Drosophila melanogaster: one gene and its partner. Changing the gene in region 2 together with the main gene of any one other region gives a genetic interaction. Each region holds a gene or a part of one and is shown on either strand. Other genes may lie near its edges.

Region 1 (7,643 bases), on a different chromosome or scaffold from region 2:
GCAGTTTTAAAATTAAACCTCAAATTGATTTCACCGCAACTCATTGTCAACCTCATAATACTTTCTGGCATTTTCCATTGCGCATTTTACTGGATTTTGATAACATTTGCTATTCCATAACTGACAATGAATGAAATGGTCTTAATTACAATCATTTGCATTGCATATCTGGAATACAGAGCCTTTTCGATATGGTTTTCCTATCCTATGGTGGCAGTTTCTAAACAATTCGATTCGTACTTAATAATCATTTAGCTTTTCAACAATTAAATCAAAACCAAATGTGCCAAGAAACATTTATTGAACAGCACTCGCTCCGGTATTTTTGACAGCACTGATAAGGCAACTCTAATAAACAGCACGTAGCATTTTCTGTCGTCTAATATAATTACATTTAATTAATGAATTAAGCATTTACAACTTAGTTTATACAAGATGTTAAGTAATAGATATTGCTGAATCCGATAAATGTCGATTAGAGATCTGGCTTCTGTGCAAGATCACATTTGTAAGAATAGCTCCTAGGACATGTATTTAAGTTGGGCAATAAAAAAAACCACAAAACCTTTGTGAAATATTATTTTAATGCTCGCTTGTCTGCGAATGGAAGTAATAAATATTTACATTTTTTATTTCAAGAAACTCAGTTCTTTATTAAATTTCTAGATCAGAACTGCGTACATTGAGGAACATATTTAAAAGGTTTTCCATGATGGCAGCTTTAAAAAGAAAGTGTGTTATAACCAATTGACCATATTGGATTCCTTTTTTAAAAAAGGCAAAGTGAAAAAAATAACTTTCCTAACAAATAGATATTAAACAAAATGATTCATTATTTTGAAGCACAAAAGAAAGAGATATTCCAATCTTCCATTGATACACTATTATTGTTCTCACAACAATACCAACAAGATCCTTATCTCAATGATCCTCAACTACCCTTAACTTAGACTTGTTAAAGGCAATTCTTGTGTTGAGATCATATACCCCCTCCCCCTCGCAAGTGGCACTGATTGACGGGCATGGAACCTGCACCCTGGACATGGAACTGGAACCCTGGGAGATACTGGCCCTCGGTGTCCCTCAAATGCGTGAAACCCTATGACTCATGCGCAATGGACCAAAAGAAAACGCCTGAGCCGCACGCAGGCAGCATAACAATTTATTGGTCAGAACATACAAGAAAAGGTATTTGTTGATAACGTGGAAGGGGGGAGGTGGCTCTAAGAAGGGAAAAGTGGATTGTGTGATTGGTAAGGATACACCGCGACAAAAAGATCTTATATACTTATGGCGTTATGCTGTTATCATGGGTGATAAAGGTAATATTTTTATACATATGTACGTAACATAATAATAAGTTGTTAATTTCGAAATATTTCGTGTATAGAATAATGCTTTTCCAATTCATAGTAGAGACATTTATTATGAATATTATATGCTATGGAAATTCTAAGTATGTAAATATACAATTGATCGCTGAATATATGCTATGGAAATTCTAACTATGTAAATATACAATTGATCGCTGAATTCGCTAAGTATTTTCCACGATGTAGAAAAGCCCCCACCCACTAACATGTTCTCCAAAGAGATCAGTCCTCTGTGGGTATGAGTCATCTTTGTTTATGTAGAAATTATGCTACCTGCTGCACTATGTTATTTTCATTTTCGTGCTCTACCTGTTGTGCGAAAGCGGAGGAGCAGGGGTATGGGATTCGACACAAATCCGGAGACACCGTTTTCACAGCTCTGCTCTTGTATAGCAATTCTTTGATGACGTGCCGAGTTTAACTACATACCCAGCTTATGACGTACAGACTGATAAGCTGATAGGTTGTTTACGCAAGCGAATTGCATTTAAGAACAATTTAAAGTTTAATTTTTATATGTATGTATGTTTGTTTGTGTATAAAGCGAAAAAGTATTAAGATCATACTTTAAGTAACTTAGCTCATGCTTTTATAACATATATTGATAAAACAAAATCAAAATACATACATACATTCTTTTTAAGAGTATCACTAAGTTTTTGACTTTCCTTAAATAGATATACATACATACATATCTAGTTATTTATTTCATTTATTAAGAAGCTGACTTTTAAATAAAATTAATACCCACATTTAGTATAAAAAACTGTCTAATAATAAATTTTTCTACTTTCAGATGTTCTTTCAAAATTTTAGATCAAAGTTTCCAAAAGTTGCTAATAGTATTCTTAAATTTAGTACTTAATATTCGAAAGAGAAAATAAAAATAGAAATGAAAAAGAGTGTGGTAAAAGCGAGGTTTTAGATATTCAACGACACACAAATGTGTACATCTAATTTCATTGATTTGAATTATTTAATTTATTTATTTTTGACTTCATTATCTTTTTAAGCATTATTTTGCTAAAAGCTCAGAAGCAGCTGCCATGAGCGCTTTTAGGCACTGAACACGATCGTGCACGTCGCTGACGAGAGCTTTATTAAACTTTTAAGCCAGATCCAGTTTCATTGGCACTATCAAGTAGAGTGTGGTGAGCAAAAGAAAAACGGGGATAATCGGAGAGGCGACAGCAACAACAACGACCCAGTGCCTTGGCAGTTGATGTCTGTTTGTGGTTGGCCATCCCGCGCAGTCGCGTTCTCCCGCACACTTGCGCAGTGAACACAACCTGCGCTCCAAACTGGTTTTGGTGGAGGAAATCCGCAAGAGAGAGCGCTAGAGAGCGGATTGGAACTCGGTTTCGGCCAAAGCCAAAGCAGAGCCAGCAGCCAGTTTTTGCTTTTTAGTCGATTTGTATCTACCTTTGGTGCGGACGGTTGGTCGGAATAAACGCGTTTCGCAGCGGAACTCCAAGAAGAGCAGAAAACCAGTCTTTAATTGTTCCATTTCAAGCTGAAATCAAATAAAAGTTCTTCGCCAATGGCTGAATAAAGTACGAATCAATGCAATCACTACGATTCGCAGTGGAAAATTGCTGGAAAAGTGAGCAAAGTGTGTGAAAAATGTGCAAATACAAGAATTTTTATATTGATTTTCTTGGCCAAAAGAGCGAACGAGCGAGCAAAAGGCAGCAGCAGAGGAAGAAGAAGAAGCAGCAACAGCACAAAGCTGCGCTGTAAGGCTTCCGTCGTTGGTGCGAGCAAGAGGGGAGGGCCCTACTGGGTGGGTGTGAACGAGACAGCAATAGCGAGAAATGTACTCTGGTGTGTGTGTGGGAACATTTATGTTTGTTGTTTTTGTTATGTTCTAGCTTTGGCCAAGTTAAATTAAAAAAAAAAAGAACAACAAGAAGTGGAGTTGTACACAGGAAAAAATGATATCAAGTGCCTTTTCTTCTAATATATGTTTATCTTTTGAAAAGCAAAAGATATTATTCAAATGAGAAAAAAAATAATCATAAAGTAATATTATTTGGCGAATTATATTTTTTTTTTAACAGAAAAAGATTCTGTACTATATCTCAAAAATAATTGGAAAAGCATCTAACTTACAAAAATGGGATACAATATATAAATACATTTTTTGATATCTACTTTTTTTTTCTGTGTACAAATAAAAAGAATACCTGTATGTGAGCTTGTGTGTGCGCCTATTCTTTTGTGCAATTCGCCTTTTAAAGGCATCATAAAAATAGCTCAGCCTGCAGTTTGAAAGTGAAAGAAAACCACATTTAAGCGGAATGCAAAGTGAATTGGCAGCAAGTGCAATAATCGACCCTTCTTCTTCCCGTGTTTGTGTGTTTAAATAGCTTTTTTTGCGTGGGTGCTATTGCTGTCTCGCTCCCGCTCCTGCTCGCATATCCTTTTGCCCTTTGCCGTTTGACGTCGTTTGCTTCTTATTGATTTTCGTCATTCATTGATAAGAGGTTGCGAACGAATGTGCGCGTGTGTGTGTCTGAAAAGGAAATCCCCAGCCAAAAAATACTAATGTTCGTGGTATCTCCATATAGCAACCGCTTTATTGACCAGAATGTCGTAAGGATCGATCATAGAGCCACCAATACACATACCCAAACCACACCAATCCTGGACAATGCAACCGTTCAGCGACAGTCTGAGCAAAAGTCGCGATGATCTGGTCACCGCCGCCTCCCGGCAACAACAACAGCTACACGGACGGAGGCGACACCACGGCAGCAGCCCCAACTTGTCGCTCGATCAGACCGACAATCTGCGAAGGAGGTGAGCATTATTATTATTAGACATTATGGTCGTGATGGCTAAGACAAAAACCTAAAAGTTTTAGAACGATTTTTGTTTGAGTTGATTATAGAAAAGTTGTTGGACATTTAGAAACTTTATTTAAAGAGTAATCACATAATTGATTAAATCTTAAAAAAAAAACTAAAAAGCAACCTCGAGCATAAAAACCCCAAAAAATAAATACTTTCAGCCATTAAAAACTCGTCGTGTTTAAGTAAAAGAAACAAAATCGGCTTGAAATTTTAATTAATATTTCAAGAATATGCCGCCGAATCGTGCTTAATTAAGCGGGGTAATCGACCTTCACTGTATACAAGTTTTTATGTAATTCGCAAGCAACTGAATACTCGAAAGTATTTAGCAGGTTAAACGATCGTTTAAAAATTTAAAAAGCCACAAAAATCTTGAACTGAGTAACAATAAAAAATTCAACTTTATCCGATAGATACAGGATTCTATTTCCCAAATAGGAGGCGTCAGCTTTATTTTCCTAGTTCCTAGTCTCACTAAGTAAATAGAAATCATTAGAAAGCACGTGCAAACCAAAAAAGCTTGTTGTGAAATAATAAAAAGTTATCACAGTAGATATTAAAAGAGCATAATAATGACAACAAAGAAGACAGACATACAGACATCTACTAAAACACTGCAAAACAACAGTGTTAACAGATAAGCAGATAAAAGGGGTTTCATTATTTAAATAGCGAAATACTAGTATTTAATAATTTTTTGTAATTGTGATTGATTATAATATTACTAAGGAGAGCACTCGATTTTCAGGAGTAGAGATAACAAGCACACGGAAATGTCTTCATAGGCAGTATCCACTGTAAAAAAAATTGGGCGATACAATTTGCAGGGGGGCGCAGCCAAAAACTTCCTATTCGCACACTTACATCCACAGCACGACCACCTGTATCTGTATTTGTGTGGATGTGTGTGAGATTTGATCATGTGTTCCCCACCATGAAAACTGGTTTTAAGTGTGACCAGATGGCAGCCTGGCCTGGGGAGACCTCGAGATGGTTGGCCAGTCGATACAGGCGCTGGGGAATGCGGTCAGTCTGACAACAACAACGCCGGATGATAACAGCAGATGAGAGCGGAGCGGGAGAGAGAGCTCCATCCGAACTGATACTGATAATGTGGAGCTAGACCGTTATGCTCACGCTGCGAGTCGCGATTTAGTTGGCGAAAATCAATCGCTTCTGGTGGTCGCTCTTTGCGCTTGAAATTCGCAAGCCTGCCTTAATTTGCGTCCGTGTGTTTGTGCGACAACAAAAACAAAAGCGAGCTTATCGCCAAATCAGTTTGCAGCCGTTGTCTGTGTGTTGGTGTGACGCAGTTGTGCGAAATACGTGAAATTATTGCATTTTTCCCCCCCAAACCCAACCAATAAGCAACAGTCTTGAAAAACCGCCAACGAAAGTGTTACGCGTCGCGTTCGTCTCTCTTTTCTTGTAATTAATAGCAACAAAAAGCGATACCAACTTACCTTGACGTCACTTTTTTTTATTATTATACATCGGACGACAAAAGGCGATTGTTGTTGTTTTTTCGGTGGCTGCTGGTGCTTGGCACGAACTCACAATCAAAAGTTAGCCAACTTTTGTTGTTGGCCCAGTGCGTAAAAACAAAAAAAAAACAGAACTGCTGGCGAAAAGCGAGCGTAAAATTTTGCATTAATGCAGTCTCGTCGCATGAATGAATGAAATTCTTAGTGCGCGACAACTAATTACGAAAGGGAACCAAAAAAGTGGCAATAACAAATAAACCATGGTCTACATCATACCGTTCTTTAGCCACAATGACCCGCCCGACATGATCATCACCAAAGAAAAAAGGTAAAATACACGCACCCGAAAGTATCTCAAGATGCACTGAGTCACAGAATCTCACAGATTCACCGCTGACCCATGCAGAAATGAATGAAAAGAAATGGGGAGACGCCGCCAAATATCCGCGTTCTATGAACCACACGCCAAAGGTCAAAACGTGCTTGGCCGCATATCGCAACAGAACATTTGGGGACGGAAATTAATGCTTTTTCACAAATTCATAAATAAACGAAAGGTTTTTGACATTTGCACGGCGGGTGCCGCCAGCCGCGTGCGAGCAGGACGGCTGTATTGTCAAAAAAACAGAGAACGGTACACTAATGCGCGTGTGATTTTTTTTCCAATGATCAACAGGTAGGGGTGAATTCACCATGTAATGGAGTAAATCTTCGTACCCGAAAAGCGAAGATAAAAGCTAAGCGGCTATCAAATTATGATTTGTATTATAAGAAACTTTAATAAGCAGGGACAATACCTCCACTTACATATATCCACATTTCACCTGAGAGCCAACCAGAATTATCAGTGTGGGAAAACTTGCTGACTTACTTAGCTACCCTTCGAACAATGCTAATTTAGTGTTAATATGTTGTCTTGGAATAGAAGACAGTAATAAAGAAACTAACAAATACTTGCAAAGGGACTGTTCTTCTTATTTAATCCGTAAAAATCGCATGATAAAAAAAACTTCATGTATGTACATAGATAAATGGTAGGATATTTATTATGCATACTTTTTATCGTTACCAATACGTAACCAAAATTATCGATCTAAGCTGATATAAAACATAAATTGCTCAGCTTAAATAGAGAGATATATATGCTTTTTATGATTCCACTTAAGAACAGTAACATTCTTGTCATTTGAGCTTCTTTTTAATAATCGTTAGTTTTAATAATGTGGCCTCATGATAATTAACAAGAACATTTTTAAATATAAGTTTAGTCACTATAGGAGTATGGAAAAACCCTATGGCTCTCGAAGTACACTTTTTATGTACAAAATAATATAACCAACGGCTCTTTTTCTTTTAATTTTGATAATGAATAGAATTTGCTTCATGTTTATAAAGAAGCCACATATTCTTAATTTCACAATCAACGTGGATATGTGTATTTGTAAAATCATTTCAGCTAAACCAAATCAACAGTGGTAATGCGAATAACGAATACGATCCAAGGAAAACAGTAGACGGGCTTAAATACATGCATACATATGTATACGTGTGTAAGTGTGGGTGCATTGGTGTAGGTGTGTGGCAGGTGATTTCGTCTAACAGACTTTCTACTTACAGTTTTTGTGCTCTTTATTGCCATTCTGGCAGTGATAAATGATAAATGTTTTTTCACCTGCTGCCGCATTTGCACTCCACTGTACTCCACCCCTTCCCGCTCCCAACGTCCTGTGTTCGTTTATCTTATCGGACAGAAAAGCAAACACGAATTCCAACAGGAAGGCATTTTTCATACGTATGGGTGCGCGAAGAACTGAATTTCAAGCGATCACTTTCCTAATATTTATTTGCTCGGGCTTGCTTTTATCAAACTTCGATTTTTTTTGCCCGTTCACTGTGTCAGCACGAAAAGTGATTATTATGGCGTGTGTAAA
Region 2 (7,017 bases):
TTGAAGTGGTAAGAGGAGGATCACACGCTTACCTTCTGTTTTTGGAATGGACAGTCCGTTGTCCTGCAGTCGTATAAACTGCCCTTGACTGCCCTGCGTTTAAATCGGATCGTTAGGTACTAAGTGTAAGCAACGTGAGCAACCGCGTTCTACACTTACCATCTGACTAAAGGCGCCCATGCGTCCCACGTTGCCGATGCCGCTAGCACTTCCGCTGTTGCGCGCGGATGAGCCGGTGGCGTAGACCACCGCCACGGGCTTACCTCCCTCCATTTCGGACTTGTTCTGGGCCGGCTTCAGCATTTTGGATATTTGTCCTGCAGAATTGGAAATTGGAAGATGCGGAGGTTCCTTAGTTTCCGATATACACATAACACGCGACTGAAATGCCGTCGTTGATAACAAAACTGCATGTACTCCACAGACACACACATGGGTGTCAGAGTGTTAGCGAGTAACTGAATGTATGTGTGGTACTATCAACGATGCGTTTTTTCGCCGTATATACGGTGAATTCATCGCAGCGAAGTGAAGAGAATGGAATGGAGCGAGTTAAGCGCACTGGAGTCGGAATACAACAACGAAAGGCGAGCGGCACATTAAGATTGGGGTGCATACACACATACACACAAGGTATACCCACACTCACGTGCTGGTGGTGAGTGTGCGTGTGTTTCAATCGGTGTGACAAGGATACAAATGCAGAAGCATAAACAACCCGAAACCAGATCGCCTGGACATTAGTGATGGCAACCACGTGACCCTTAACCAATTAGAGATGGTTCGATACTAAAGTTCGTGACTCGACAAGATTGTTGATCAGTCATTAGTCGGATTAATCCAAGTTCGAATATAATTTGAATTAAATATAGTGCGATTATAGGTTTCCCATTAAAACTCACAATTCGACTTTTAACTGGAAAGACAATAAATCAAGCAGAAGCCTAAGCAGAAGAAAAAGTAAGAGCAAATATGATACCGGTTAGTATTTTTAAAAGCGTGACATTTCAAATCACTGTTCTTAGTTGCGTTCTTTAGTAAATTTTATTTACTGCTAATTTGGTATATCCAACACTATGAGCACTTCCATTCCAAAGCAACTATAATATCAAGGCAGAATTAACCGGAAACCCATTAAGACTACTCGGTTGGCACCCCTGGGTTTCGTATCCAACCGGCTTTTCTAAACATTTCCAGTTTTAGATGGTATTCATTCGATGTAATAATTGTTCACCTGTCGCCAGCCCAATATTTGCATAATCATAACAACAAAGCAGGTGGACAACGCATAATGGAGATGAAGATGCCCAAAACAAAAACCGCAAAGGGTCGAGCGCTAAAAATACCTGCCAACTCTCCCGCACCCACGGGCACATCACACGCACACACACCTGCAAGTGAGTCAGACTCACGGGGGCTTGAGCAGCGGACACATGCGAGAAAATGCCGGACTGTCCCACCAGATGGTAACGATGGGAGTCTTAAACTCGGCGGGAGTTATCCTACAATGCCTAGGCAGAGTCCCAAAATGCAGGTGAAACCATAATCCCTACAATTGGAGAAGCAGTTCCATAGTTCGTCTGCACCAGTCAACCAGCAGATAACTACAAACCAGGTAACTCGCTGGTACGAACAGGCTGATATACTGGTCTATATAAAGCGTTTATGCGCGCTTCATATTCAACAAAGAGCAATATCACTGATTAAAAATTACTATTTCTTTACATATTGGGGATTAAAGAGACATTTTATACAAATAAAAGCACGTCATAAAGCTATCCATATCTTCTTCTTTGCTATCATGACTGAATGAAACTCATGAAGTTAATCAGTTCAGTACTGCGGGGTACGGTAAATACCGCATAAACGCGGCGACGGACAACTACACACGTGTACAGCGCTTACACCTATTTGCTCTCGCCTGTTTTGGGCTTCAGCTTCGTGGCTGACTACGTGTGTGTGTGTGTGGCAGTGTTGTTCTTGCTGTGGCCTTTTTTCTCTCACCCCGATCTCTCTTGGCGGTGCGCCCCGTCTCTCTCCCACTCGCTAAGATATGGCAGAATGTCACGCTGTTCAGATACATTTGTTTCAAGTTGAATTTACAATGTCCCTCACAATAATACCTTTGTACGTAGCTGAAATCAACGATTTATCACTACTTCACTTCATGCTAAATCCTCAAAGCGAATTCGCAGTGGCGGCGAAGTAATCAGCTGTTCGCCGCCCAATGAAAAAACAAAAAAATAAGTAGGAGAAAACGCGCGCGTGCTAGTGTGCGTGCATGTGTGTGTGTGAGCAAGCGCGCCAACTGGGCGATGGGCGTAGATGGCAGAAGGGGGCGGGTCTGGGTGGCTTACTGATATAAGTTGTTATTTCGCGGGGGTCTCTGTCTTTTATTATTACTTTTTGCCAATTTCTAGCACTCTTTTCGGTTCGTCTCGCTGGCCTCCCCCCGCAAAGCGTATCAAACGATGAATACGGTAGGCAAAAGAAACCCGAAAAAGCAAAGATGGCGTTTTACGCTGCCCATGCAACTTTGTAGCGTATCTGTGTGGGTCGCCTTGTGTATGAGGGGGTGTGTGTGTATGATGGACTATAGCGGAGGGAGGGAGTGCACTCACTCCATCGTGAGCAAAACTCCTATTACAGGACACCGCTTCCGCCCACTTACCGTGCTCGTTCCGGAAGAAGAAGTTCACCTCATCGGTCTTCACCGTACCGCCCGTCGAATGCGCCATTTTTCGGCCGCCGGAGATCAAGTGATCTTGTTGTTGTCGCTTACCGCTCACCAGGTGGACCGCCAAAAACAAAAGGAAAGAGCAGTGCTACGTGCCGTTTCGCCGCAACGTGTGTGCTAGGGGGGGGCAAATGGAGCTGGAATGGGCGACGGCGGTGGATAGGCGGACGTACTGCACCCACGGACTGGGGCACGTGTGCAAATCCGGATGCGGACCACGACCACGACGACGACGACTGCAATGGGGAGCGCACTTGTACAAAAAATAAGTGTCGCCCAAGTCAAAATGGCGAGCGCATTTTTCACTTCCAGCGGCAGGGCATTTTTTTTTTCTTTTCTGCTGCTCACACACACTCACAGCGGCGGCCCTTTTTCGGTGGCCTTTTTCGCGGTGTTTCGGCGCACGGATTTTCACGAGATTAGTGGCAAAAGATACGGCGAACTTTTAGCTATCGAACGGCTGGCAGCAGCGCGAATTTCCGCAATTTCTAAGCGCAACAAAATGGTCACAAAATTTCCACCAAGTGGCTGCTTTTCGTTTTCATGTGGGAAAGGCAAAGCAGGCTGTGTGCGGGTGCGAATGAAATGGCAGACAGTGCGCGCCAATTTACGCATCAATTTACGCAGTGTTGTAAGCAGCTGTGTGCGACAGTCGCTATCGCACACTGGTCGCGGATGTAAACAAAGTTGCCACTTTGTCCAGGTGAGCGGTATTTCGCTGGCAGCCCGCCAACGGTCACCCTGAATCGCAGAATATTAAAGTTTTCGAGTTTTATTTTTACCCATTTGGTTGGTGTGGGAAAATGACAATCAACAGGAACGGGTAAATCCAAGCAGCTATCTACACGAGCCCAGCAGCGGAGCGCACACGCACACAATGGTCGATCCGGTGGCGGCGCTGTGCAATTACAATGTGCTGGAGGTAATCTTCTCCTACCTGGAGCTGGACGACCTCAGTCATTGCTCGCAGGTGTGCAAAAGTTGGTACCACTTCCTCAACGACGAGAACAGCGACGTCTGGCGCTGGCACTGCCTGAACAAGCTGCCCAAGGAGTCCCTCAAATCGGACCTGCTGGCCTCCGTCTCCACGTACAAGACGAAGCTGCGGGCCTATTTTCACGCCTGGAGCCCCAACGACTGTTCGAGGAATGTGTACATTAAGCCGAACGGATTCACCCTGCATCGGTAAGGTATTCGGTTTGCTTGAGTCGGCGTTATATGTATGTCCCTCCATTCCCGCAGCAATCCCGTGGCGCAGAGCACAGACGCGGCCCGGGGCAAGATAGGATTCCGCCACGGTCGTCACACCTGGGAGGTGATATGGGAGGGACCGCTGGGCACTGTGGCCGTCATCGGCATATCTACCAAGGAGGCGGCTCTACAGTGTCACGGCTATGTGGCTCTGCTCGGCTCCGACGACCAGAGCTGGGGCTGGAATCTGGTCGAGAACCACCTGCTGCACAACGGCGACATGCAGGGCAGTTACCCGCTGCTGAACAATGCTCCCAAGTACCAAGTGGGCGAGCGGATACGCGTCATTCTCGACTGCGAGGACAACACCTTGTCGTTCGAGAAGAACTACGAGTTCCTCGGTGTGGCCTTCCGGGGTAAGGGGAAATAGTTTGGTGATACCAGCGATACGAACGATTCTATGCACTTTCACCTTGCAGGCCTGCCGGACAAAAAGCTCTATCCCACAGTATCCGCTGTCTACGGCAATACCGAGGTCTCGATGGTCTATCTGGGCACGCCGTTGGACGGATAGCTTTGCAGAGGGCCTACAACTTGGTTAACAACTTCCACGGATCCATTAGGTTATTGTGTACATTTGTATTTATCTCAATTATGATTGCTTCATTCCACCTGAAACTCAGTTCGATAAATTTAGTTAATAGTTTCGTTTTTTTGTACAAAATTATGCATTTTGTTGATTTACGCTAAGCCAAAGTTCATATCCACCTCGGCACTATCTCACATGGCAATTTACCTTAGTTATACGAACCAAATGAATATAATAAGCGATTAAACAATAGTTGAAGCAATTTTTTATACACCAATGATCGCTGATTGTGCAAGTAAAATTACAGACAGAAGAACGAGTCGCGAATACAAATCTTTCAATCCATTTATTGCGTGGTGGCCTCTACTGTTTCCCATCGGTTTTCATCTTGGCCCAGTTGTCTTCATCGAACAGATCATCAAAATCATTGTAGAAGTCAGCGTGGACGTGCTTATCGTTGGAGGGCAGGTGGTCCATCATCATTCCTGTGGCTCCGCCGGACTAAAGGAATACAATATAAATATATACATATGTATATGAGCGTATGGTGGCAGGTTTTTAACATTTATGTAGGATATTGCCATGAGCATTGATGAAAACTCTGGACATGGGAACAATTAATATAATAAATAAAGTCGCCAAAAGATGAAATGAAAGATACATATTCCTGTTTTGCGGGGAAACACTACTTCTAAAGAAGATTGTAGATTTATCTGATTGTTGTTTACTTTTAATTGCAATGTTGGCTACAAGGATAAACAAAGTTTTCGACGACCATATTCTTCGATGGGAAGCTATGTTGAGGACTTACCTCGTCCATTTCCATGTAGCCGGGGCCTTCGGAAAACATTTCGTCGGCAGCCAGAGACGGTTTCATGTTTAAATCCATACTTATTTCTATTTTAGCTTCCAATTATCTTTTTTGTTATTTTTTTTAGCGCAGAAAAATCTTTACTTGCTGAAGGCGTTGCCACTGCAATGACACACAGAAAATAGGTACCCGTCCGGCAACCCTATGAAACAGCTGATTGCCGCTAAGAACTTCAATATAAATATTAACTATTGTAAAAATGGTTCGTGTGGGCCTTCAGATTTCCGCCACGCTGGAGAACGTGGACAAGCTGGAGACGTCTCATCCGGACTACTCCTTCTTCTTGAAGCTGAAGTGCAGCAACTGCGGCGAGCAGTCGGACAAGTGGCACGATATCACGGAATCCGAACGTGTGCAACAGGATTCGCGCAATGCGGCCGGCTTTAACTTCTTCATGAAGTGCAAGATGTGCAGCCGGGAGAACAGCATCGACATCGTCGACAAGTCGAATGGTAGGCTGGCTTTGAGTAACGTATCCCCACCAAACTACTGAGTGCATCCATCCACACAGCTCCCTACACGGCGGACGATTCTGGCGCATTTAAGACCATCGTGGTCTTCGAGTGCCGCGGCGCAGAGCCCGTCGAATTCTCGCCGCGCGTCGGTTGGCGCGTCTCATCCGCTGAAAATGGCCAGCAGTTCGAGGAGGTGGACCTGTCCGAGGACGACTGGGTGGAGTACGACCAGAAGAACAACAACTCTGTGGGCATTTATGAATTCGCCTCGAAGTTCATTAAGCTGAAGAAGTGAATCCTGCTGCACTTTACCTAGGATTTTCTTGATATTAGGCTAACGCCTCAAACTGATAAATGTACACTACACGGCACCCGAAAACAAATATCCTTTAAGCATATAAAGGCATTTCGAATTGTTTTGTTAACTATAAATCACCATTGTCAAGTAATTCTTCCAAAATGCTTTTCTAATTCACCCCTCCTGCTCTTAAACAATACAGAAGTGTTCTAGATATATTTAAAACTTTATTTGTGATCATCATGCGATTCTCTTAGCCGCTCTCCCAAACTCTCTCGATATCGATTTTCATGTGCCGGCTACTTTGAATTGAGATTGAGCACGAAGATATTAGCACTCTCTCAATTGTTTTTGCCTCTCTGTGTGCGTTTGCACTTGATTTCTTAATACAATGCAGTATTTCGCCAGACTGCGAGCGAAACGGACCGGATACGGGAATCCAAAGCGAATTGCCGGACCCGGATATCGTTGCAAAAGGCGCGTAATATTTGGTGAATGGTGACCCTTTGAAACCACCTACGTACACCTGCCAAGTGCTCAGCCAGTGCGTCTCCGGTAATTATTCGGTCTGCCGAGCGAGTGTCGCCAGTCAGAGGCACTAGGTGCATCAATAAAACTCGCAGTGATTAGATAATGTGGGGGGCCAGTCTTATCTGGACATTTGGGCGACGTAGTTCAACAGCCTGCAGAGGTTCCCACCAGTCCAATACAATAATATAACCCAATTCCAGCCCTGACCTTTGCAAAAGTACGTGATTTGGAATACTCATATCAAGCGGTCTACCCCTGGCCACTTCCCACACGGTTCATCCATAATGCATGATTCTAGGCTGGCACGCATCAGTCATGCATCTTCTCCATTTGTCAATTACGGCA

What was found.
Region 1: of Fsn (region 2) and wnd, changing one suppresses a phenotype caused by changing the other (phenotypic suppression), as found in Drosophila melanogaster (one study listed by BioGRID).

The regions. Positions count from the first base shown.
Region 1 is NT_037436.4:19,630,764-19,638,406, reverse strand, and holds the start of wnd (wallenda), read left to right. Parts: upstream 1-2,623; 5' UTR 2,624-2,976; exon of another isoform or gene 2,977-2,985; intron 2,986-3,943; 5' UTR 3,944-4,026; coding exon 4,027-4,175; intron 4,176-5,310; exon of another isoform or gene 5,311-5,972; coding exon of another isoform or gene 5,973-6,040; intron 6,041-7,643.
Region 2 is NT_033778.4:13,218,767-13,225,783, reverse strand, and holds Fsn (F-box synaptic protein), read left to right. Parts: upstream 1-3,324; 5' UTR 3,325-3,440; intron 3,441-3,445; exon of another isoform or gene 3,446-3,554; 5' UTR 3,555-3,614; coding exon 3,615-3,922; intron 3,923-3,979; coding exon 3,980-4,344; intron 4,345-4,407; coding exon 4,408-4,502; 3' UTR 4,503-4,845; downstream 4,846-7,017. Other genes in the region: DP transcription factor, read right to left, coding at 33-93, 160-317, 2,672-2,738; CG17059 (uncharacterized protein), read right to left, coding at 4,881-5,018, 5,329-5,406; CG4646 (uncharacterized protein), read left to right, coding at 5,588-5,840, 5,900-6,138. UniProt on the Drosophila melanogaster protein: Required in the presynaptic motoneuron to down-regulate the levels of wnd and restrain synaptic terminal growth at the neuromuscular junction (NMJ). Negatively regulates the localization of vas to the posterior pole of the oocyte.